Nothobranchius furzeri: one gene and its partner. Each later gene encodes a partner of the first gene's protein in a complex. Links are inferred from orthologs where the notes say so. Each region holds a gene or a part of one and is shown in the gene's direction. Other genes may lie near its edges. The genes, in order: nrip1b and esrrga.

Region 1 (4,377 bases):
GTTATTATTATTGTCAACTTTTTTTTTTTTACCGGGGTTTACCGCTACACTGGTTACCGTGACAACTCTACCTGATCGGTTTGCTTTGATCTATTTTGAAAATTCCGATCAAAACCGATAGGGGCGCTATCGGCCGATTACGATCAAATGCCGATCCATCGGTGCATCCCTAGTTTTGGTCAGGTGTAGAGCAAAAAGGTGCAGCTCCTTCCTAAAAAGCAAATAATCTCCAATAGAAAATAAGAGGATGCTTAGACTTTTGCATTGATGTTACTAATTTTTTTAAATCACAGCTCATCAGATCTCCAGACTTGATCCTGTTCATTATGGCCCAGTAGTTGCTGCTTCAGAAACCTTGTGGTTTGATCAAGGGTAACTTTCCACACATAAGCGTGGCCCGGCTGCCCTGTCTTTAGCACAAAGAGCTTTGTGTCTTCAGCTGATCAGCCATTTAACGTTAAACGTGCTAATATAGGCTTCTGAGATGGAGCTCCTTGTGTCTGTGATGATTTTTCTCTTTGGCATTGTGTTAACACGCGCCTGAGCTAAGACCTTAATTATTAAAGACATTATGCAACAATTCAGATGTATTCACCTAATACTTTATACTTGTTTAATGCCCAGAGACTATTTCACGGTGTCCTCTGTGTTTTCAGACTGTATGTCCTCATACTTCTGCTCATTCGTGTATTTAAGCAAGCGTGCTTCTGTTGGTGGGTGGGTGGCTCTTACTGTAGCTAGATGAAGGGTTGTGTGGTTTTAGATGAAGCTCAATTGCAAACGGAGTCGGGGGGGGGGGGGGGGGGGGCTAATCCAGTGAAATGGCAAGCTGCATAAAGAATTATGCACAGCTCTCAGAAGGCCCTTCACTTTTGAAAGACACAGCCGTGAGAGGCTTACAGCTCAAGACCTGAATGTTTTCAAGGTAGTGAGCTTGAATTTTCAATTTGAATCCAATCAAGGCTCATCTACATGTGTTGTGTGTTGGGTGGCTGTGAGGGAAGAGTGCAGAGAGAAGGAGCCGTGTGCAGTCAATCTGAAATGTTGCTAAGTAACAGCGATGGCAGACAAGGTGGGGAAATGAATGTGATATAGTGCTCTGCAAATCCCTGCTTCTCACATGGTTTCCTATTTTTCCCCTTTTTCCTTCCCCCACCACCCCTCCCTGTTTTCTCTCTATCTCTCACTTTTATAGATCTCCCCCCTCAGCTGTGAGCTCTACAGAGACACCACTGACAGAACAACAGACAACCATGGAATGCGTCAACATCATGGTGGTGGATTCCTGCTGACTCCTCGCTTGCTACTGGCATCAACCTGAATCTTGGCCTTCTGGGGTCCTGCAGCGTTTATAGGCATACAGCAATGCCTTGGAGGGCCGCCTGCCCCAGATTGCTTCCAGGCATGGTTGCTTCTTCAGCACGTTGCTGCTTGTAGCCTCTTCAGAACGATCCAAGTCCAGCGAGCGCATCCTTCTGCTCTTCTCTGTTCTCACCTGGCGCCAAGACCGGCCCTCTTTCTGGTGACTAACCAGTGCATGACTGAACCAGATGACCCAGATCACATTTATTTTCCAGTAGCAGTGCTAAGCAATACGAGGGGATCTGAGTATTGAACATGACTCATGGGGAGGAGCCTGGCCCTGAGACACACAAGGATTCAGCTGTTCTAACTTATCTGGAAGGTTTACTGATGCATCCAGTGGTGGCCGGGCCTGGGGCCACAGCAGGCGGGAGGTCCGAGGCTGTCCACAGCAATCAGCAACAGGGCAACAAGGTGGGGGGGTCCTTCCCACTAACTCACCATGCTCCAATAGCGCCCAAGGCTGGAACTAATAGACCGACTCTGGGTTCCTCACAACACCTGAAGAAGGCTCGCCTGCTGCGCTCCGGAGCGTGGAATGATCCGGGGAACCAGCGGCTGAGTTCACCCCCCATGGACCTGAATGGCCAAGTGGGAGGCCTGCAAAACGGAACGCTGGAGGAATCCCCTAATGCTGGAGAGAGCACCCTGTTGGCATCTCTGCTTCAGTCATTCACATCACAGCTTCAGAATGTGGCATTGTCTCAGAACACTAGTAAACCCACCAGTGAGTGTCCATCTCCAGCCAAGGCTCCAGCTGCAGACAAAGAGCCCCTACCTGTTTATGGGACAGCCTCCAGCCGCTTGAAAGGCCTCATGCGGAAGAGCAAACTACAGAATCACAACAACACCCCTTACAGCCGCCGTGGACACAGCCAGGACCGGCCACCAGAGTCCCCTCGATCAGCACACAGCGCCACGCCTCCTGCTGCTCCTGCTGAGTCGGTGTCCTGTGCTGAGCGTTTGAAAGCAGTGGCTAACTTGGTGAAAATTCGTTCTAGCCCCGCCCCCTCACCAAAGCCCAGCGTGGCCTGCAGTCAGCTTGCTCTGCTGCTGTCCAGCGAAGCACATCTGCAGCAGTACTCCAGAGAGCATGCTCTCAAAGCCCAGCTCTCAGGGAGATCAGCCAGCGAGAGACTGGCTGCAATGGCCAGCCAGCAGCACGACACAGACAAAAGGCCTCCAAGTGTTGGGGGGTCTCCAGACACACTAAGCTCCTTAGCAACTCAGAATGGAATGACAACTACCACGATGATGGCAACACTCCCTCGGACGGCAGTGTCCAGTCCTCAGAGCCCATCCCTGCTGCGTGGCCACAGCCAAAGCTCCCCACCCGCTGCTCCCCACGCGCCGAGCCAGCCCCCCAGAGAGAAAAGAGGCTTTGATGCTCGTCCAGTCCGCCCACCGCAGACATGCAGCAGCTTGCTGCTGCTGCTGCTGAACAACCACAACAGTCAGAAGCAGCTGACCAAGAACGGACACCTGGAGGACATCGGTGGCCTTCTGCCTCCAAGCGGCTCCTCTTCTGTCACGTCGGACAGTGAATGCTCCACCCATGAGAGAAGCATGACCAAGGACAGCAGTGATGCTGAGAGCTCCTACTCCAGCTGTTCCCCAATTGACCTCTCCATGAGAGGTCGTGGCAGTGCTAGTGCACAAGACACTGGGCCCAAAAATGCTCCCTCTTCTTCCTCTTCCGTCACCTCTGTGCTCTCTTCCTGTACCATGGTGCTGTCTTCCACCCCAGCATCATCCTCTCCTCAAGCCAGTGCTCAGCCCTCCACTTCATCCTACTCACCTTCTTCTTTGACTGTCTCCTCTGTATCCACTGCTATTTCTTCATCCTCGTCCTCCTCCTTCCCTACCTCCTCCCTGGACAAGCTAACGGAGTCTTTAATAAACAAGTGGAAACCAGAGCCATCCAGATCAAACGTCTCCAACAACAAGGAGCCAGAAATGAGTCCGGACCTAAAATCCCACCCGAAGGTCACTCTCATGCAGCTGCTGCTCGAGCGCAGGAACTCTGAGATGGCTAGCAAAAGCAGCGGGACACAGGACTTGCCTCTTGACATAACTATGGCCACCATGTCTCAAAGTCAGCAGAAAAGACTGATGTCCTGGGAGGAGAGCAGAACCAGAAGCTCCATAGAAAAGTCAGCAGGTCCGCCCCAGTCCCTCTACTCTTTTAGTCAGGACCCGAGTGGTGCACTTTCCCCGTATTCTTACCCCTCCCCCCATGTTCAGTCCAGCCCACTAGATTTGTGTAAGTCTAAAGCCTTCCCAGCTGAGAGGTCCTCAGAGCCAGCCTTTAGTGCCAGTAAACTGTTGCAGAATCTGGCCCAGTGTGGCACCACCACCTCCTCCTCCTCCTCCTCCTCCACCCCGCCCATCCCCTCCAGCAAAGGCCTGGGCCAGGAGATCGACACCAGCAGGCCCCTGGCCTTGATGGAAAGACTTAATGCTCCAGTCCACCGGACCAGCACCACTCCACTGTCAGATGGAGCATCAGGCAGCGGCACACCTTTCATTCACAAGGAGCCGTCCACTCCCTCCTCACAGATCGAGAACCTCCTGGAGAGGCGCACTGTGCTGCAGCTTCTTTTAGGAACCGGGTCGGCCGGCAGTACCACCAGCCGCAAAGACAAGTCCAGTGGTGGTTACCGGAGGAGTACTGAGGCAGCTGGGGGGTGCTACGAGACCAGCCCTGCCACCACTGTCCTTTGTGACAGCTCTAACGAACCTATCTTAGATGTGAAGGTAAAGTCTGAGCTCACAGAGGAGGCGGGGCCACCTCCTGCCAGGTCTGAGGACTTTAGCAGCAAAAAGAGACTGAGTGGCTGTGAGAAGAAAAGCCAGCTCTCCGACCCTCAGCAGGACTTGAAAACAGAAGCGCGGCCGCCAGAGGTCATAGCTAAATACGGCCTCCTGAGCCAGCTGCTCAAACAACAGACTGCCACCTACTACACTAACTCTGCAGTGCTGCTGGAGTCCCAGTCCACACAGGTGAAGGAGGAG
Region 2 (4,323 bases), on another chromosome or scaffold:
TACAACTGTTCATATTATTTGTGGAAGAAATAGAAAATAGCTGTTGTGCACAATTGTAAACACACACACACACACACACACACACACACACACACACACACACACACACACACACACACACACACACACACACACACACACATCAAAGTAGAGATTGGTTTCTGGAAATGTTATGTTATCTGTTCTTTCCAAATGTGCTAATTACAACCACTCCCTTTCATCTCTGCATCCCCCTTTTCCACCCCTCTGATTTAGTCTTTTCCCATTGTCTCTCTCCGTGCTGCACACTTCAGTCTTCCCAACCATCCTGTGTTTGATGGGATACCAGAGTCTTGGAAAAGTTACTGGGAAAGGATGAAATAAGAGAGGAGAAGAAGTAAACTGTGGCAAAACAGATGACAGTCTCGGTGAGAGAGCTCCAGTTTTTCTTTCCCGCTCGCCGTGCGTTCTTTTCTCGGTCAGCCTCTCGCTTGATGACCAACGCTGCAAACAGATTCTGCAAGAGATTCCAGTGTCCAAACATTCCAGCATGTTCAGAAATACTGCACACAAACAGCCTGCTGGTGAGAAGATGAAGGAGAGCTTGACAAAACAGCAAGTGGCGGGGAAAACCTTGTCCCAATCATGTCCAAATCATTCCACAACAAAGGACGCGCGTTCTCTGGAATTGCCGTAATCTGGTATTTTACTGCTGGGTTGTGATGGGGCTCTGCTGGGCTCTGACTTTCTGAGCATGTTATCGATGTGACACTTTTCTTGAGTTTCAGGTCAAGCTTGCACTTGTTCCTTTGATCTGGCAATTCTTTGGATTTGATTATGTCCCGTTTGTGCTCTGCATGCTGGCAAGCTCAAATCCGTGTTGTTTTTACCAGAAAGATGCTGCAGATCAAGGTGATCTCGTGTTTCCTAGAAAGCTAGGCTAAAAACTTCTTTAAAACAAATGAAAGTTGGGCTTTTTGTTTGTTTTTTCTGACTTTTCAGTTTTTAAAATCTGTTTTTGTTGAATGGTTGGTGTAGAGTGTGGCAGTGGAGACCAAAGGGGACACTGGATCATAAAGATGGATCATACCAGAAGTGCTGGTATTCTTGTTTCAAACCGTTCCCCTCACCTGACTCTTTCTTCTCCCTGCTTCCTTTCTTCCCTTCCTCTCTCCTCTCTCTTCTCCTCTGTGCTCTTTGTCTGATCCCTCCTTCTCCACCTGCTTTTCTCCCTCTCTCTCGCTCCCTCTGCTTCTCTCCACCCCTTTCTCCACCCATCCCTGCAGCCATTGGTCAGCTGTCCACCAATCACAGCAGAACGCGGACCTGAGGGACTGCATATGCAAAATCCTGCTTAATATTCATGAGCAACTATCGGAGCTTTAAGTCGTTGATTAGGACAGCAGCACAGCTTTCTGTCCCAACTGCCCGGCTGGCTGGCTGTGTATGTGTGTGCGCGCGTGTGTGTCTATAGCCCCTTTTCCCGGCTGTCACATACACACTGCACACACACGCTTCCTCACGTCTACACACACTCGCAGAGCCGATCAGTGCAGGCAGCGCAGACCAGAGCCTGGTAATTGTGTTACTCCCTCCAAGTGCAAGGAAGGACTGGGCGCGAGAGAAAGAGAGAGAGAGAGGGGGGACGACCAGAGACAGAAGAGGAGGAGAAAGAGGAAACATATCAAAACTTTGATTTTTTTTATTCTTTTTCGTGTTTTTTTGCCGTTTCCATAAAGGAGGTTGGCGTGACAATGACCCGGTACCGCTGATGGAGTCGGTAGGACATCCCTTATCCGAGTGTTTTTTAATGCACTCTGAACAAGAGTAGGTAAATTTTACCTTTTGATCTTCCCTTTTTTACTCATCAGCCAACTTGTCATTCATTGTCTTCTGCTGTGAGTGACTGCATGCAAGTTAGTGATTGTGTTTGGTGTGCTGGAATGCAGCATGTCAAGGTTGCTCCCGCTGTCAGGTAGCACAGGATCACTGTCCACGTGAGTGTGTGTGTGTGCATTTTTGTGACAATGCCTGTATGTAGTTGCTGTGTCCAGACAGCAGCTCTTATCTGTAGGTGGAGGAGCTCAGATTTTGTCCCTCCACCTGGAAGTAAGACACACACACACACACCTGACCTGTCACACACATTCAAACAGCCTACTCTTCACTTTTTCTGCCTTAAAACATTCTTGTCAGTAAAATTGTTTGAGAGACAAAGACCCAACTGAGTTAGGACCCGTGTGACTGCTGGTGTGTGTGTCCGTGCAAGTTCATCCAGGCAGAGAGTCAGCGAGGTAACGGGGAGCGACGGGAGGAGAACGGCCCGTAAGAACTGAGGGAGGAGGAAAAGAGGGAAAGCTGCGCTCTTAAATGCCGGAGGAGGTCAAATGTCTGACCGGCTGCTCAGCGTGTGGCCCCGCTCAGGAATTAGAGACAGTTCCTCTCAGACACTCTTCAGCTGCTCTTTTGAACCAAAACTTTGCTCTTTTAGGTGAAGATCATCCAAAAAGCTAAATAACTGCACACGACAGATATTATGCATAATTCTGCTCATGTTTACGGCTGTAACACACATGCACGCTAATTCTTCTGGCTTTTTTCTCTCAGACGTTAAAAGGTGAAGAATTTTTTGAAGCGATGGGTTGTAGAGTGTGACCGGTGACTGGACAGCACTCTTGTTTCATTTTGGCATCTCATCACATTTTAACATAATTTTATTGCTCATTTAACGTAAAATAAAACTTTAGTTTCTGGAAAAGTCTTGGACAAAAACCTAGAAACATTTAGGGAAACTAAATTAAAGCGTCGGTTGGAGCCTGCACAGCTGTCAAAGCCAGTGACACCAAAAAACAAGAAAATGACAAGAAATCCTTAACATTTAAAAAGAAAGTGTCCCTGTGAGCCGTGAACCTGGCTTGTCTTTGTCTCTCCGTGTGTCTCCTAGAACCCTTTTTCCTTTACAGCAGGTCGGATAGTTAGAGACCTTTAACAGAGAAGATCTGACGGAGAAACGAAACACTCATGTTGTCTCTCTTCTTTTGACTAAAGCATGCTAAAGCGTCATTTAATGTGTATTCTTAATTTTCCCATTGAGATTTTTAGATTTGAAATGAGATTTTTTCATTCAAACTATATTTAAACATTTACAAATGGCAGTTTTTAGGATGTTGTTGTGAAGCAAGGTGTAAGAATATGATTTTTTTTGTGAATCATTTGAAACGTAAACACAAATTTCTGACGCTTCTGTTTACAGGAACACAATCCTGCTGATTGGGTTCTGTCTCAACTGCAGAACAATGCTTTTTAACGTCGACTTGAGCATTAAAGTCAGAGTGAACCTTTAATGAGGACAACGTTTTTACATTTCTGGATGGGGAGACGAGTGATGCACATACCGTGTCAGAAAGAAAGAGTGAATGTGGAAAAATGCACATGAATGTCCCAAAATTCTGCAGCAAGATGTGCCTGTTTAACCTGTGTGTGTGTGTGTGTGTGTGTGTGTGTGTGTGTGTGTGTGTGTGTGTGTGTGTGTGTGTGTGTGTGTGTGTGTGTGTGTGTGTGTGTGTGTGTGTGTGTGTGTGTGTGTGTGTGTGTGTGTGTGTGTGTGTGTGTCACCTCTCAGGTTTTTTTAGAGAACCCTCTGGTCCAGTCAGCCGTCTGTCCGCTCCTTCATCCCTCCATCCATCGATCCATCCATCTGTCCACCATTCCTCTTTTTCTCCACTCAGGCTTTGCCTCCTTTTCCTTTAAGGCGCTGCGTTTCTAATTAAAATATTAAGGATAATGATGATCATGCCGATAATAATAACAAGTACCGCTTAAGCAGTTAACATAATTGCATTCCCCTCATGTCACCGTATACATACAATTTGCATGTCATTAAAATGTGTGACCTTAGTGAATTTGATGTTTTTTGTCAGTGGGTGTGAGGTGAGCGGACCTGTGGTGAAAATTGCACAGCGGCCGTGCAAATTGTTCAGGCGCAGATTTGCAGCGCGATTATGAAAGGAAGGGCAGCAAAGTGGTGATTTCTGTCCGGAACCGGTGTCAAACGTCCCTTTTTCACTATTTAATTAGTTAGATTTTCAAATGAAAATACTGTAATGATTGTGGAGAAATATGTTTTCTGTTTAAGGATGCAACTTAACCAAGTCAGGATCTTGACTAATATTAGAATTTTGTAAAACACCAAACATAAATATAAAGTGTTTAGACGTAATTTAAAAACATTTAGGAGTTAGAAGAGGATTCCTCCTGTGATGCGATGGGCTCCAACAGGATTTTTGTTTTAAAAATATTAACGCATGAAATTTTCATGGTTATCAGATCATTTTTAAAAAATCT

Evidence for each region.
Region 2: the proteins of nrip1b (region 1) and esrrga are in contact, whole or in part, in a crystal structure (PDB 2GPP), measured with the Homo sapiens proteins. The link is inferred for Nothobranchius furzeri from reciprocal best matches to the Homo sapiens genes NRIP1 and ESRRG. Residues at the interface, in NP_001426204.1 of Homo sapiens: Ser378, Leu379, Leu380, Leu381, Leu383, Leu384, Lys385, Ser386, Gln387; in NP_001429.2 of Homo sapiens: Val277, Ile280, Lys284, Phe289, Leu294, Gln297, Met298, Leu301, Gln302, Lys448, Leu449, Glu452, Met453.

The regions. Positions count from the first base shown.
Region 1 is NC_091750.1:42,800,682-42,805,058, reverse strand, and holds the start of nrip1b (nuclear receptor-interacting protein 1), read left to right. Parts: upstream 1-1,390; 5' UTR 1,391-1,617; coding exon 1,618-4,377. UniProt on the Homo sapiens protein: Modulates transcriptional activation by steroid receptors such as NR3C1, NR3C2 and ESR1. Also modulates transcriptional repression by nuclear hormone receptors.
Region 2 is NC_091749.1:33,701,972-33,706,294, forward strand, and holds the start of esrrga (estrogen-related receptor gamma a), read left to right. Parts: upstream 1-1,339; 5' UTR 1,340-1,750; coding exon 1,751-1,806; exon of another isoform or gene 1,807-1,810; intron 1,811-4,323. UniProt on the Homo sapiens protein: Orphan receptor that acts as a transcription activator in the absence of bound ligand. Binds specifically to an estrogen response element and activates reporter genes controlled by estrogen response elements.